Styela clava: one gene and its partner. The protein of the gene in region 2 purifies or fractionates together with the protein of the main gene of each other region. This does not show direct contact. Links are inferred from orthologs where the notes say so. Each region holds a gene or a part of one and is shown on either strand. Other genes may lie near its edges.

What was found.
Region 1: the proteins of tRNA (cytidine(32)/guanosine(34)-2'-O)-methyltransferase-like (region 2) and tRNA (34-2'-O)-methyltransferase regulator WDR6-like purify together in Homo sapiens (affinity purification with mass spectrometry; 3 studies listed by BioGRID and IntAct, with this or other methods). This does not show direct contact. The link is inferred for Styela clava from reciprocal best matches to the Homo sapiens genes FTSJ1 and WDR6.

What each region holds. Positions count from the first base shown.
Region 1 is NC_135254.1:10,191,480-10,198,699, reverse strand, and holds the start of tRNA (34-2'-O)-methyltransferase regulator WDR6-like, read left to right. Parts: upstream 1-4,213; 5' UTR 4,214-4,302; coding exon 4,303-4,363; intron 4,364-5,248; coding exon 5,249-5,364; intron 5,365-6,000; coding exon 6,001-6,073; intron 6,074-6,482; coding exon 6,483-6,585; intron 6,586-6,662; coding exon 6,663-6,800; intron 6,801-7,154; coding exon 7,155-7,220. UniProt on the Homo sapiens protein: Together with methyltransferase FTSJ1, methylates the 2'-O-ribose of nucleotides at position 34 of the tRNA anticodon loop of substrate tRNAs. Required for the correct positioning of the substrate tRNA for methylation.
Region 2 is NC_135263.1:13,288,943-13,296,556, reverse strand, and holds the start of tRNA (cytidine(32)/guanosine(34)-2'-O)-methyltransferase-like, read right to left. Parts: upstream 3,025-7,614; 5' UTR 2,884-3,024; coding exon 2,690-2,883; intron 2,460-2,689; coding exon 2,354-2,459; intron 1,507-2,353; coding exon 1,428-1,506; intron 788-1,427; coding exon 735-787; intron 567-734; coding exon 503-566; intron 1-502. Other genes in the region: polyprenal reductase-like, read right to left, coding at 3,842-4,747. UniProt on the Homo sapiens protein: Methylates the 2'-O-ribose of nucleotides at positions 32 and 34 of the tRNA anticodon loop of substrate tRNAs. Requisite for faithful cytoplasmic translation.

The DNA of each region.
Region 1 (7,220 bases), on a different chromosome or scaffold from region 2:
AACCGTATACTTCATCGTTAAGTTTGAGCAAACATCAATAACTCACTTTTTATTTAGAAGAATAAAATTGAGCTTCCTTGCCAGTCTTAATTAAGTCGAATATGAATGACTTGATAATTCATTTGATTGTCTAATATCCAGCGGCAATCAAATTATTTCATTTTTTGAAGATATCTATTCACTATTATTACTGTAAATAGATATCTCCGAACGAGTTAAACACTGAAATAATAATGGTATCGCATTATTTTATTTGTACACATTACACATTGACTTCTCATTGAATTGAAAAGAGCATTGTATTTTCATATCAATTTACAAGTCGTCGCGCTATAATATCAAGTCCGACACATAGCGCACCTGCGATACAATTTTATGCATAGCCTATACAAAATCCCATTTCTTTTTATTAGTTTATATAAGAACAGTGCTGTATTCAATATTTTATTTTGATGTTTGAGAATATCATAAGAATAATATTACTAAATGATAAAGTTGAAATCAGTACTGAAAACACATTAAAGGACAAGCTCGGCGCTTCTCGATATTAACTATAAATTTCTGTCCGTTCACTTGTATTCGTTTTTCGATTTCTACCAAAATTTATGGCATAGTATTTCATTTCTTGCCTGTCCATTTCACGACACACAAGTGTAAAAAGAGAGATTTAATCTCATTGGAAAAATTTATCCGCCATATTTCATTATCAGTCCTCGGTAAATTTGGGATTCCACCTCTAATTATTAGGATGGAAAAAATAAATTGCTCTCAGGATGAAGACGCTTTATTCGTGAAATCATTTTTCAACAAATACAGCCTTGATTTGAAGTAACGTACCGGCTTTGATTTGAATTGAGTCTTGTTTAGTTCTGTGCACTTGCTTCAGGCCAGTTCCTCCCCTGTTGTTTTGACATTTAATTAAAAACGAAGGCGATATCATGATTCTCGGTAGATATCGTCCAAATAGCATTCCGTCTATCATCAACAAATGGCATGAAACACGTATATCAGTATCATTACTGTTTATCTCGAATCTGATCGCCTCTTTCGTTGAAACCATTCCATATTTCATTCGTTAACTGTTATTAATGCACATTAAATTGGTTTGGGCGTCTGAGTCAGTTTGTTTGAATATTTTGAAGTTTTTTATAGGATCTTTCGCAACGGAATTATGCAATAAATTGAATTATATATTACATGGTAAATTGTTTGTCATCAGAAAATCATTTGCGAAAACAACGTCATCGCCACAATGGTTCTTGATAGTCATCCATCCGCTTCCAGACATTACCTATTTCTTCTGAAAGTCCAATCTACATTCAATTTCAATCCAGATAATCTTCAATTCAATTTTCAACTTCCAGATAATCTCATTTGCACCATGTGTAGATACTGCTAATATCACCATTCTTCATCGCTGTATCAGTGTTAAGTTCCAAGCAGCCAAATCCATTAGAAACGGGTTTCCAAATACAGGATAGCATGTTTAAACTGTTTTGCCGACCTATCTTTATGATGGACCGATTATAGGGGCCTTTTCAGGTAAGAACTTTGGAAAATTAACTCTCGCTTGCTTGATATGCTTGTTATGTCCTAATATTTAACTTGATTATTATTTATGAATGATATTGTACATATTCTTTGGTTACGCGAGAACGTTGGATCTTTCTACCGTAGCGGCAGGCATCTTTCTCGTTAGGGCCTACGTCATTTGTACAATTAAGTGATAGGCCTACGTCCTTCTCTGGATTATTCCTGTCACATTCTGTCCAAAGATCCCACAACTCGCTTATGGACGTTCTGGTTACGCCCCACCAAAAAAAAAAAAGAGTTTCGGCTGGCAGTTAACCTTCAAAACCAAGAAATATTTTTATCAAAATTTTCAGAATATATTACGGAATTAACAACTCATAGCGTAATGTAGCGATCGTAATGACTTCAACTGTTTCAAGTCTTGCATCAACATGTACTTGTGCACAATGCTCGCTTTAATCTGTATGATTTCAGTGGCTCTTCGCACTCTACTTTTCCTATTTTTTTTTATAAAATGAGTTCTTCTTATTCCTAAGTAAGTGCACTTGAACCTGCTTTGAGCATCTTCTCATAAAAATACATCAAATGTTTTATACAATAAAATGATTTCCACCAAAATCAGCAATTGCGCCTATTTGAAAATCTAAATTGTTCGTGTCACTTGCAAGCGCCATTTATACAATGCGCAATGAAATTTACTAACGCATCTAAATAAAATCATCAATTACAAAACAGTCATAATTTTCCTATGATAGCACTGACGCAAAACAATGAAATGAGTTCACGCGTGCTATCTGACGTAGCCTACGTAGGTACTTAACCTATGATAATAATGACCTATATTTTATAATAATGACTGATAATAAACTTAATGACTACTTCCTCGTATTCAATGCATTACTGTATATGTGATAGAATTGATTACGTATTATAGGAATTTCAATACACCTACAAATGCATTACAAATAGCGTAGATGTATTGTTTTATGTCGATTTATCAAACAATTCTTTTAGAATACAGTAAGGGATAATACGTGGAGTAACAATTTAGCACACACAGACCGATTCCCATCGTGTACCCTTGATATAACAATTTGCTACTTTGTGATATATCTGCCAGACTTTCAAATCACGCAAGTACATATATTCCTTCTCAATATAATGTTGGGAATTGTCAACTAATGACATACGTTTTGGCCCACGCAAGCTCGAGCGCAGAGATACGTTTATCAACAATACGTCTCTTTATTGCTCACAGCAACTAAACAATCAATGCAATTCGTGTGCATTAATACCATTCATTTATGACGATCAACAGACAACATTATCTATGTGCAATGTTTCAATTCAAGAATGACTTGGGCGTAATTTAGTTTAAAAATTTCTTGCACAACAATTCTAATGTGACTGAGCCATTTATATAGCCATATTTCATCTGACGTTACATCAATATGGAAATAATAGTGACAAACTTTATTTACAGATTACTCATAATAAATCACGTGATTTATTTAGACTTACAACGTTTATTGTCATTCATAAGAAAGCGAATAAATAAATTATTCAATGAAGATAATATTAGACGGCAAAAAATGAAAATTAAATCCTGTTTTCATTTGCTGAAAAAAATTTCTAAGACTTTTTTATTTTCTTGAAATGATATGCATCTTCGTCCAAACGAGGGTTTTATTTATTCGTAAGATCCATAGCTATAGGACATATTTATTCCGGGGGAGAGGAAGGCCGATAAGACGACTTAATTATATAGCGGACCACGGCCTCTCGTTCGGTTACGAGAGTTCATGTCGGGTATACGATATGTTATCCAGTTATTTGTTTCAGATGCGTGGAACTAATAGGGGGAGGGGTGCGTAACCAACCAGCGGTTACGCGAATCCCGTTACAGTGGCAAGAAGTCCAGCAATCCTATTGCACATAATTTTTGTCCGCGGTAGTCAGAGGCGCAGAGTATTCTCAACATAAATGGAGAACTGATAGTCTACTCACTACTGGGCAATAAATAACCATAATAAAAGAACCGTAACAACGAACAGAGTAAAATATACCAAGGGCATGCCCTGGCCATGCAATTTTAGTATATATCAAATCCATAAATCCACGTGCTTTGTAAATTTGTGCTATATGAGCAATCATTTTTACGGAACCCATTATCAAATAGCTATTACATCTGTCATTTGGATGTTATCCTCGGGTTCGATCAGCTAACTTTTCGCTATAAACGGTGACAACACATTTGAACGTGTGTATCCGCGGGTTCAATCTATATGCGGATGCTAAAATCCATGGGTTAGGGTTAGTATGGGTTCAAATATCCGTAGGTGCAAATTTCCATAGGTGCAATAATATGCAGGTGCAATTGTCGTGGGTTCAAATGTAGCCTACGTAGGTTCAAATGTAATGGAACCGCGATAAACTTCTTCATTCCCGGTTACACGTGTGATAATATGGACCAACGCCTCATGAAGTACTTTTCACCTGTCAGCCCCACACGGTTTGGGTTTTTATTAAAAATGAGCTTGAAACATTTGTAAGCGCCAACTCTCCAAAACACTCAAAAATGTTGAATTGGTAAAGTATAATGCAAATTTTTAGGGGTCAAGGATCAGAGTTCATTGTTAATTGTATTCATTTTATTGTTTCACAGGGGATTTCCCTTTTTCAACGTGCTTAAGTCATATTTCATTATAATTTGACTTAAAATTTCTCTTTTGATAATTTTAATTGAACAGTATTTTGTGTTGCAAAGTGATGTCTTTGATCAAAGTTCCAGTAACTGCTCTTGCTGTCTATAAGGAGTATTTGCTTGCCGGTAAGTAATGTCACTATGTTAAGAGACTTCAGTCTTCCGATTTTTTGCTTCACTCTGTTACTTTTACGGTACTGCTTTAATCTTTTGTTTACCGGTATATAACTTATGTTTATTTTGTTTTTGCGAATAAATGTAAATAAAATATAACGACTCAAATTGAGTGGTCATTTTTCATACCCGTACCATTTTTTTTTCGTAGTTCTGTAGTTATCAAATTTATATAGTCTTCTTCTTCTAGCCTTTTCATTCATATTTCAGTATTTGTTACTTCAGTACTTCAACACTGTTCGTCAAGTGGAAAATTATTATAGCAACAAATTTAACATACTGCAGTACTGACATACCTGTGGGCTGCAGGGTTAGACTGGTGCTGAGCTGCAGGGTCCTTGTGTATATCTGTATATTGTGAGATAAAACTTGATGAATATTATTCACGATTTAGAATTCTTTCAGCGAAACTCAAGCTGCATTCATTTTACTGTGTTTACCTTGCCTGGGTCAATCCACAGGGTCTGCACACTGTCTTTTAATCAGTCTGTCATCAAGTGCATCTTGACATTAAAAACTGAAAAAGTAACGATAGTCGATGGCTAAGTTTTTTGGTTTAAACTTCATTAAATTGAAGTCTCACAGCACAGTAGTAAAAATGTTAGCACTTTATTAAATAAACCCTAATCCAGTAATCACTTGTGCTGTACACTGTCTGACTGACATATACCTTTTACATGTCCAAGGCTACTTTATTAACTATATGGCTGATTCAGCGATTCTTTCATTCTTTTCCAATTAATCTTGTATTTGCAATATGGCAATGTAAATTTGACGTAATAATAGGTATTAAAGAATGTCTTGCTTCAGTGTTTTATTATTCATCAAATGTTTCAGGTGTTGGAAGCTTCATTAAAATTTATACTCGAACACCTAAGTCTGGAGAAAATGATACAACAGAAGTTCTGAGTGTGAAGAAAATTTTCAATCGTCATGTTGTCCATGGATTGAAGGTATTCAAAAACCCTTTATATGTAGACGGTTTTCATGCTGTGATGGTGATTTCATATATATTTTTGTTAAATTGTTGTTGGGGGGCAAAAATTGCTAATAGACAAATTGGTTACAGTTGCCCGGAGATTTATTTTTTTTTTTAAATTTCTTCTTTGAGTCCTTAAGACGGAATTTTCACCCAATATTTACTGTTTTCTTTAATATCATGGAACATTATTTTATGACAAATTAGAACACTTTATGACCTTTGACCTTACAAAAATATATTTTAGCATTACTCCCTTGTAATTTTTGCATTAAGTGTCTCCTAAAACATTTTTTTTAAGTTTTGAACACATCAATAAATTGATTGTTCATCAATTGTGGGTTCAAAGCTCTATGATTTTATAACTGAATTGAAAATGTAGATAAAACTCTGGCAGTTAGCCCTTTTATACACCATGTACTCATCATAATCGTCAGTATCGTATACATAATACAAAATAGTGAATATGGGGAGAGCTCTCCCCAGTCTATACCAAGTAACTTTACGTATATTGCTGTATATTTTTATTATAGTTGTTCTGGTTGACAAATAATTAATCTCTCTTGCTCTCTGTCCGAGTTTATTATTTTCATATTATGTGATCGTTCAGGTTTTCAACTGTCAAAATTCTTTTATTGTTGCATATGGTGGACAAGAATGGTGCATTTGCAAATTAACTGAAGGTTTGTGGATCTTTGTTTATACCAGGTCAGCAGTCTCCTAAAGTACAATATTATATGCTGCATAATTTCAATCGTTCGCATTCCACTAGTTGGCGACAACTTTGCTAGGAAATGCATGTAACTTTTGCATATAGCCGCATGAACTTGTTTTGTGCAACTTACTCAAAAAATGTGAATATCTAAAATTCGTTCCCATTTTCTAATTCTACATAGTTTTGTCTCTATGTTTATTAACTGTCATAAAATTACTTAATTTTGTTCGTAAACTCGTAAAGTTAGTTATTTCATCAACATTCATGAATTTGTTCAATAGGAGTCATCGGAATTTGTTAGAAACATTTTACTAAGATTGAACAAATATAAGATTTCCACTTTTTCTGTGTGATGAGTCATTTCATTTTTTTTCTAGATGATGATGATTTGTTACAGATACTTTTTTCATCTAAAATTCATGATTGGATATGGGATGTTTCGCTAATATACCGAGACATTGTAAACGATGACATTCCAAGGTATGTTTATCATGTATGAATGTCAGAACTAACCACTTTTTAAATTACTTACTAAAATATTGTAATGCTTTTTTTAGACTCACAGATCAGATCGCTTTCGCGCTTGGACATAATTCTGTAGTTTTATATGATTGGATGCAAGATAAGATTATAGTGGAATCTCATTGCGAAGAAAAATGTATTTTGTACTCTGCATATTTTGTTGCAGACGAAAGGTATTACTTATCTCAAAAACTATGCTTGACTTTACTTTTCTGCATTTTACACTTGTGTCAATGTGTTTTTTATTGAACATGCCTTAATTTAGAGTATATTGTAGTCTTTTTTTCGATTCTGTTCATTCTTGTCGATGGGTTTGTTATCTAGCATCCATATAGTCCGGTATAGCACAGGCTAATAATCTTTTGTGATTTCGAACATGCTGTTATACAGCCCGCAGTCGTAGGTTTACAATGTTGCTTATGCCTTAATAATGAATGTACACCCAAGTTACCCAAAGCCAGTCTAGGTTTTTGGTTTGATTTCAATTTCATTTATTTAAAAATTAAATCTTGATATTTTAATTTCAGACCAACTTGGAAGTCTTTAACGTTATGTAGTGGGACAGTTTTTAATCAAGTGGTTATATGGAGACC
Region 2 (7,614 bases):
GCTTACATACAGTTATATGGAGAAAATAAGAAATATGAATGTTTTTTCATGTGTGGTAAATTCAATGCCAGAGTCCAGAAACATAGTGAAAAATTATTCACTAATAGCAATGCCTTATTCAAGTAATGACCAATTACTCTATTTCGCAGAAATCTTGGCTTGACTATGCAGCGAATTGACACAGCGAATTAAAGACCACTAGTTCAAATTCCATGACCACCAACTCACTTGAGACATAAATTGGTTAATGCTAAACTAAAAAGATTCCGGTCTCTCCAAAAATTGTAGCTCTCTAGATATCAGTGAATGGTTGTACAGAGCCTTGTTCTGAGCAAAATTTATTTGGGCACAGAGATACCTAATTGTTGACGTTGGCCTTGTATAATATATACATAACACCAGTCAACGTAGAATGTCGCTACAGATGATCTTGGCTCTGTGGCAGAATTTATAAACTGATAAATTATGGATTAAATTCTGAAAAAAAAATATTCAAATATACCTCTGAATATTTTTGCAATGAATGTTCCTCCCTTCTTCAGTACATGAGTTGTTATATTCAATGCCTGACAAGAAGAATAGTTAATTTGTTATATATTCAACACTGATAATCAGTCATTGTCTATACTGTATATAACATGTAAGTAACAAAATATCAACCTGTGATTGGTATAAAATGCAACAGTACACAAGATAACAATCTACAAATATAAAAGAGTAAAATTGTAACTTACAGCTAAAAGTAATTGAGCTTGAATATACTCGTCAATGTCATGAAGTCCAGTAACTAAAAACAAATGAGAAATTTATATTATGATGAGATGTAACTCTGAAATAAATCTAAAATAGGTACGGTAACCTGCAAAATCTTGATTCTCTATAATTATCAGAATAAAGCTTGGTCTTTCCATTCCCACCTTGGCCAATTTGAATCTTGACTGGTTCATAATCACTCATGTGGATTAATCAAACTTATTGTCTTCACAATGAAGATTACATTTTGGATATGAAGTGTACTTATGAGTTGTTCTCCTAATTTATGTTGTCAGAATTGCTGTGGTAGTTGTTGTTGTGAAGAACTAATGGACCAACCGATTGCAAATTTTAAATCTTGCAGATGAAAGAAGTCGATGAAAGTCTATAACTTTAATATATTTTCAATTTTTTTTATGATGCATATGGGGTCCGATATTTAAAACCAAATTTTGCTGTTTTATTCTAAATAGAAGGAACACTGTCTCAAGATTTGACTTTGTGTCAATATATTTGAGTTCTCCTGTACTGTCATGAAATCATTACTTACCTGTAATACTTAATTCAAAATATACAAATTTGTTGGTTATTTATCATTTTTTCATATGATGCCCTTAAAAAAGATAAAAGCAATAGGTCATAGGTCAGGATTAAACAGTAAGAAAGAAACTTACCATCCGGTGCCCCATCACAAACAACCAAATCTGCAGGTTCGCCCTTGAAATGATCAACAATACTTTCTGCTGTTGAAACCTATGGTGTACGAATGGATTACAAATGAAAACATATGGTAATTCAAATGCACAAATTATACATCTAAAAATCTGTGTGATGATATATACATAGCATAATATGAAGTAGACTTTTGTAATTGGAGTGTGTCCAAATGACAATTGCATGTTGATATTTTCATTATTCAGACCCACAGAAATTCAAAATGAGTTTACAATATTACATATTGATCTAGTCCAGGGGTGGGCAACCCCTGGCACGCGTGCCAAACTTGGCACGCAGGCCCATTTATCCGGCACGCGAGGGAGGCTTCGGGAACGAGATCATTCTACTTCAGATAAAAAGCTTCAAGACTATGAATTATCTGATGAAACGAGGTGTTCGTTTATTCATTATCGTTTGTAAACAATACGTTATTCGAATCTATTTGTCGGACTGATATTACACCGATTAGTGTATCTGTCCGTACGTGTTTGAAAGGTTTAATATTGTGTATCTCTGCCTCAAGAGTGGTAAAGCATGGTTTTTGATTTTGGTTGGCACGCGGAACAATTTTGTCGATCAACTTAGCCGATTTTGGAATTTGGCACACGAGTCGAAAAAGGTTGCCCGCCCCTGATCTAGTCTAATCTGACACCATTCAACTTTATGATTGAGATTTACAATTACGATGCTATTTTGATATTGGCACTCCAATTTTGATGTGACTATTCATTTAAGACCAACCATGCTCCCTGATTCTCTGAGTAGTAGGCCCTAACATTATTGAAGAATAAAAACTTGAAAATGAATATTCTAAAAAAACTAGGTCACACGAGAAATAAAGTCATGACTCATGAGTTAAATTTTTTTTAAAACAACATCTTGCCTTTGTGATATCTCCTTGTATTTGTATAACACCAGGTAGTGGAGCCATTGCCTGCAAATCTACTGCTACAATCTTTACATTTGGATTCTCTTGTCCAGTGGGCCCTCTGAAATATTTTTTTCTACAAGTTAACAAGTGTGAAAATGCAAGGGAACAGAAATTGAATCTTCAGAAAACAATGTTTATTTGTAGTAGCATATAAGACTTTGTATAACATACATGCAACCAGAAGAACTTAGTTTATTAAACTTCTTGGATTTAAGAATCCTTCAGTCAAGAAAATAAAATGTTATATTCCAGTATTAATGCCATGACAAAAAAACCTTGATTATTCACCTTAATGTTCTTGTCAAAACTTGGCTCCAACTGCCTGGTGCAGCACAAAGGTCAACCACTCGTTCAACACTTTTGTTCAAAAATTTGAACTCTTCATCTAAATGTAATAATTTGAATGCACTGCGTGCTCTCCATCCTTCTTCTTTTGCTAATCGGTAATAAATATCACGCTTGTCTTTACTCGATTTTCCCATTAAACTAGACTTGTATAAAGGTGGAATTAAAAAAAATTTGAATATCTAAAAAATTAGAAAATTTCAATTAGCTCAATTTGCTGATAAAATATAACTTAAAGAACCAAGATGATAATTTCAAATTGTAGGCCTATATTAAATTTCGAGCAATGAGAACACTAAATGCATTTCTCTACAATACAGAGCCAAATATGTTAATACCATGATTCAATTAATCTCCTATGAATTGGATTAAAAATGACTTCTGTTATCAGTAACAGGGAAAATAAATATCTCAGGACAAGATGAGTACCAACAAACGAGCAGGTTTGGGCCTATGCCGACAAATCCTTGTTCTCAACTTGCCTACAGTAGCATGTACAATAACAATTTAGTGTTTGAGAAAATAGGAAAAAAGAAAATTGCTCTTTGAAAACATACAACAGGGATGAATAATGCCACAATTTTCTATTTTAATAAAATATTGACCGAAAATTTGCTAAAAAAACAAGATAAGTATTGTATATATGCATAGATAAGTGTTTAATACAACTTAAATTTGACAAAATAGATTGAACATGCTTTTGCTAACAAAATTTTGACCAAGCAAAAGCCATGGGTAAAAATGAATATACAGGGTGTCCAAAAAGTTTCGTCCGATTATAAAGTCTTTATAATCAAATGTTATTTTTTTTCTTTTAAAAATGATTTATAGTCAACCTCTTTCTAATTGGATGTTATAGATGTTGAATGTTATAGTCCCTATTTATCATAGAACCAAATTTATTCAAATTTGCAATTGGTAATGCTATGAAATCGGGCGGAACTTTTTGGACACTCTGTATGTTACATAAACTGAGCATATCAACTAAATACCTGCTGAGTTGCATTAATCCGATTCGGGGACAAATTTCAAATCCAGGTTGGGACTTATTGCACATGATACTTTGACTGGGGTAGGAGAAGATTGTGTTCTCTCTCAGTATACAAAAGGAATCAGTGCTCTTCTATGCTTTGGATATTGTTTGAATGTTGATAAATACCATTCATGGGACATTTTAGCCATTCCAATATGTATCACAATGACAAAAACAATAGCATATCTCCAAGAATAGTGCGAAAATCCTACTATGAATGTCAGAGCAGTGTAGATCAATATTTCAGTAAAATAATGAGGACAGGACACAAATTCAAAGAGATCACCAGTGGGGATTTTATATTCAGATTTATCAGAAATTTTTCTCAACTTAGCAAATATATGAAAACTTTGATTTTGATAATATGAGGCCACAACAAAGAGAATTATTCCAACAAAATGTCTCAGTTCGATATCACCAGAAGGTAATTTTTCAATTGCACCAATTTTTGAAACAATAGTTAAAGGCTCAAAAATATAGAAAAAAACACCAAGAAAGTAATGGAATAAATTTATAGTAGCTTGCTTGGAAAATTTGCTAACATATAAACATTCATATAATCTTCGACAACCTTGAATAAGTATAAGTGTAAAAGCAAGCAATAACGACTTCTTTGTTATCAAATTTCGAGTTGTACTCGATTCAGGAACAATGTACTTAATGATCAAACCTTTTTGCGTATCAGAAAACCAAAATATTATGCTCAAATCTGCGATGAATATCAAATTCCATAGTACAGAAATAGCATAAAAATGTGTGAATATCTTCTTTGGTAAATTGAAAAACTTAATGGCTTTTCCAGAATTAAGTTTGCCATATTGAGAAGCTATTGTCATCAGCTGCCACAGAACTCCGCCATTTTCTTTATTAAAGGTGCAAAGAGCGACGAGAAGTAGAACAAGGAGGAATATCATAATAAACCATAATAATTCAATTGTGTCTCCAATAGTTGGTGGAACATAATCCATGCCAGTTGCTCAACTATTACAGTATTAGGTTATATAACTTTGATCTGGTGAAATAAATCTGTAAATTTCACATATTACAGTATTATAATCTTATAGAAAGCTAAATCCAATACATGAAATACTGGAAGCTAGTTCACTAAACGCTGTCAAGTACTTTTAGTTGGCGTGGCATGACCATTTTCACATATGTCATAATGATATCTATCCACCACCTGACTACGTCATCCAAAAATTACGTCACTACAGCGTAACAATTACGAAATATGACCCGTCAAAGTATACGAATCGTCGTCCAAAAAGCGCAGACGATCACCCGAAATCAAGCAAGCTATTTCTTTCGTTTCCTCGTCGTAACGATTCCAATATCAGAGAGATAGCTAGCGTTAGCGTGTTCGTTGTCTTCAGCAGAGATGTCATTTCGGCCATCATAGCTTTTCTTTGGAAGCTCTATGACGTGTTTGTGACGTAAAAATGGGGTAATTTTCGGATGACGAAGCCAGGTGAGGAATAAGGGTCTCGTATAGTTTCGTACATACCGTACTTCTAGTAGGCGTAGCATAACAATTTTTCGACATGTCAATCCTAACCCTCACCTGACTACGTCATCCAAAAATTACGTCACTACGACATCACAATCACGTCATAGAGCTTGCCGAATACTCGTACGATCGCCCGAAATGGCATCGGCGCCGACGATAAAGAACTGACTAACGTCAGCAATCTCTCTCTTATCGGGATCGCTGCGACGAGAAAACGAGAGAAATGGCTGTTCGATTTCTCGTCTGCGCGTCTTGGATGACAGTTCGATGACATAGGACATGGATGACATAGTCTGAAAAGTTCTATTACGTCACTGTGACGTAATTTTTGGATGGTGTGGTCAAGTGGGGGTTAGAATTAACACGTGAAAAAATTGTTATGCTACGCCTACTAGAAGTACCGTACGTTAGGTACGAAACGACATGACACCCAGGAATGACATATGCAAAAATGTTTGTGCCACGCCAACTAGAAGTACCGGTACTTTCGTCGTTTAGTGAACATGCGCCCAATATGGAATATCTGAATACTGCAAATATGAATGAATGATGGACTTAACGTGTAGCTGCATATCACGTCAGTAATATATAGAGATAGGCCATAGGCCTAGCTGATACATCCCACACAAATGCGGTACCAACCTCTGCCCAGTTACACCAACAGCCCGAGTATGGTCCAACAAAAACGAGAGTGGGTACACGGATAAATCCTACCGAACTCAAGCGTATGCACAGGTTCTTTCCCAGTCGGGAAATTGAAGTCCGGAAATATTGGAAATTGACTCCCACTCCGGATTAAGAAAACATTTGCGATGTGTCACCGTGTATAATTGTGAGTCCGGGTCGTAAAAAATATACTCCGACTACAGCTCAGAACCCAGATTATCGCCATGACCTCATTTGAATATCTGTCCCAGAGCTCATTGCTGGCAGAAGTTTTGTTTTCAGAATACTTCAGGAGGTCCGAATCATGTGCTATAAAGTTAAACTTCGGAAACCATAGCTCTGCAAATTTCAACTATATTTTTTATTTATGAAAAATGTAATTTGGAAACGCGATTCCAAAAAATGACTGAAGTCGTCCAGAAAATGCTGCACTGCGAAGAGAGTTTTATCTTATATAGCCTATCTATACTATTACTTGATTCAAACAATATCATATGTATTGACTCAGAAGTGTGGAAGACTTACTAACTTACTTCACTTTTTATTATTCTAGAAAAAATATTTTTTACTCCCGCATGTCTACATGAAATCTGGTAACAGCTTCGGTATAGCGAATGCTTCTCAATTCAATGAGGATGAGCCGAGGAGATTCTAAAACGGATTTGGATTCGAATCAATACCACGCGTTTGTAGCACTCAAAATTGAGTTCTTGTTGGACATTTCACTTTATTTGTCACTAACCATAAAACCCCATTAGTGGTCTATCAATGTGCTGATGAAGCATCTATTTATTGGACACGTTTAGTGGCCATAACGATCGTTTCAATATTATGTTGTTCTTGTTCTTTGACACGTTTTTGAAAAATCGCTTTTCTCTTCGAATACTGGACCAATTGCTTTGAAATTTTCAGGGGTTAAAGATTAATTTCTTCGCTAGAAGGCTATTACTTTTATTTATTTCAAAATTCTGCGTGAATTCTATGAAATTTGATATTTCGTCTAAAATTCTGCTGTGTTATTTTTTATCCATGGGAACACACATTTTAGTCAGTGTCATGACTGGCTGTACGTTTTGATTCTGCAAAATTCTTGCTACTGGAAATTCAGAACTTTTTTGAGGGTACCGTACCGGTAGCGTCAAAGGTACCGGTAAAGACTTATTCGCTCTGGTCTAACGTGTCCATATATTTGTGCGTAGCTCTCTTGTTTTTTATGTGATCTTCCGAAAATAACTTTCCGATGATCGGAAAGTTTTTGTTGGTGCAGAATATTTGTGTGTTTCAGGGTTGATCGCAAAATAAAATAAAAAATCTACCACGAGTAATTATCCGCTCCTGATTGATATACTTTCAGAACAATTGTTATAACATGAATTAAAAAGGGGTTATCAATATCTTTTTAAAATAGCGTTTATTACGTTCAATCGCCTGCCGAAATATAAAAACACGAAAACTTTCGCTAAATGCAACAAAATTGTGCTCAGAGCTAATAACAAGCTTAAAAGCAGAAACTATAGGATGAGCGACGTTATAACGTTTGTAATAAGGAGATCCGCTATAATGCATGAGTGGATGCACACCCCGTACCATTTGCGCAAGCATTGTACACAACCATCGTCAATAACAGTGAAGTATCGAGGTCAAAATTTAGTTCCTTCTGAT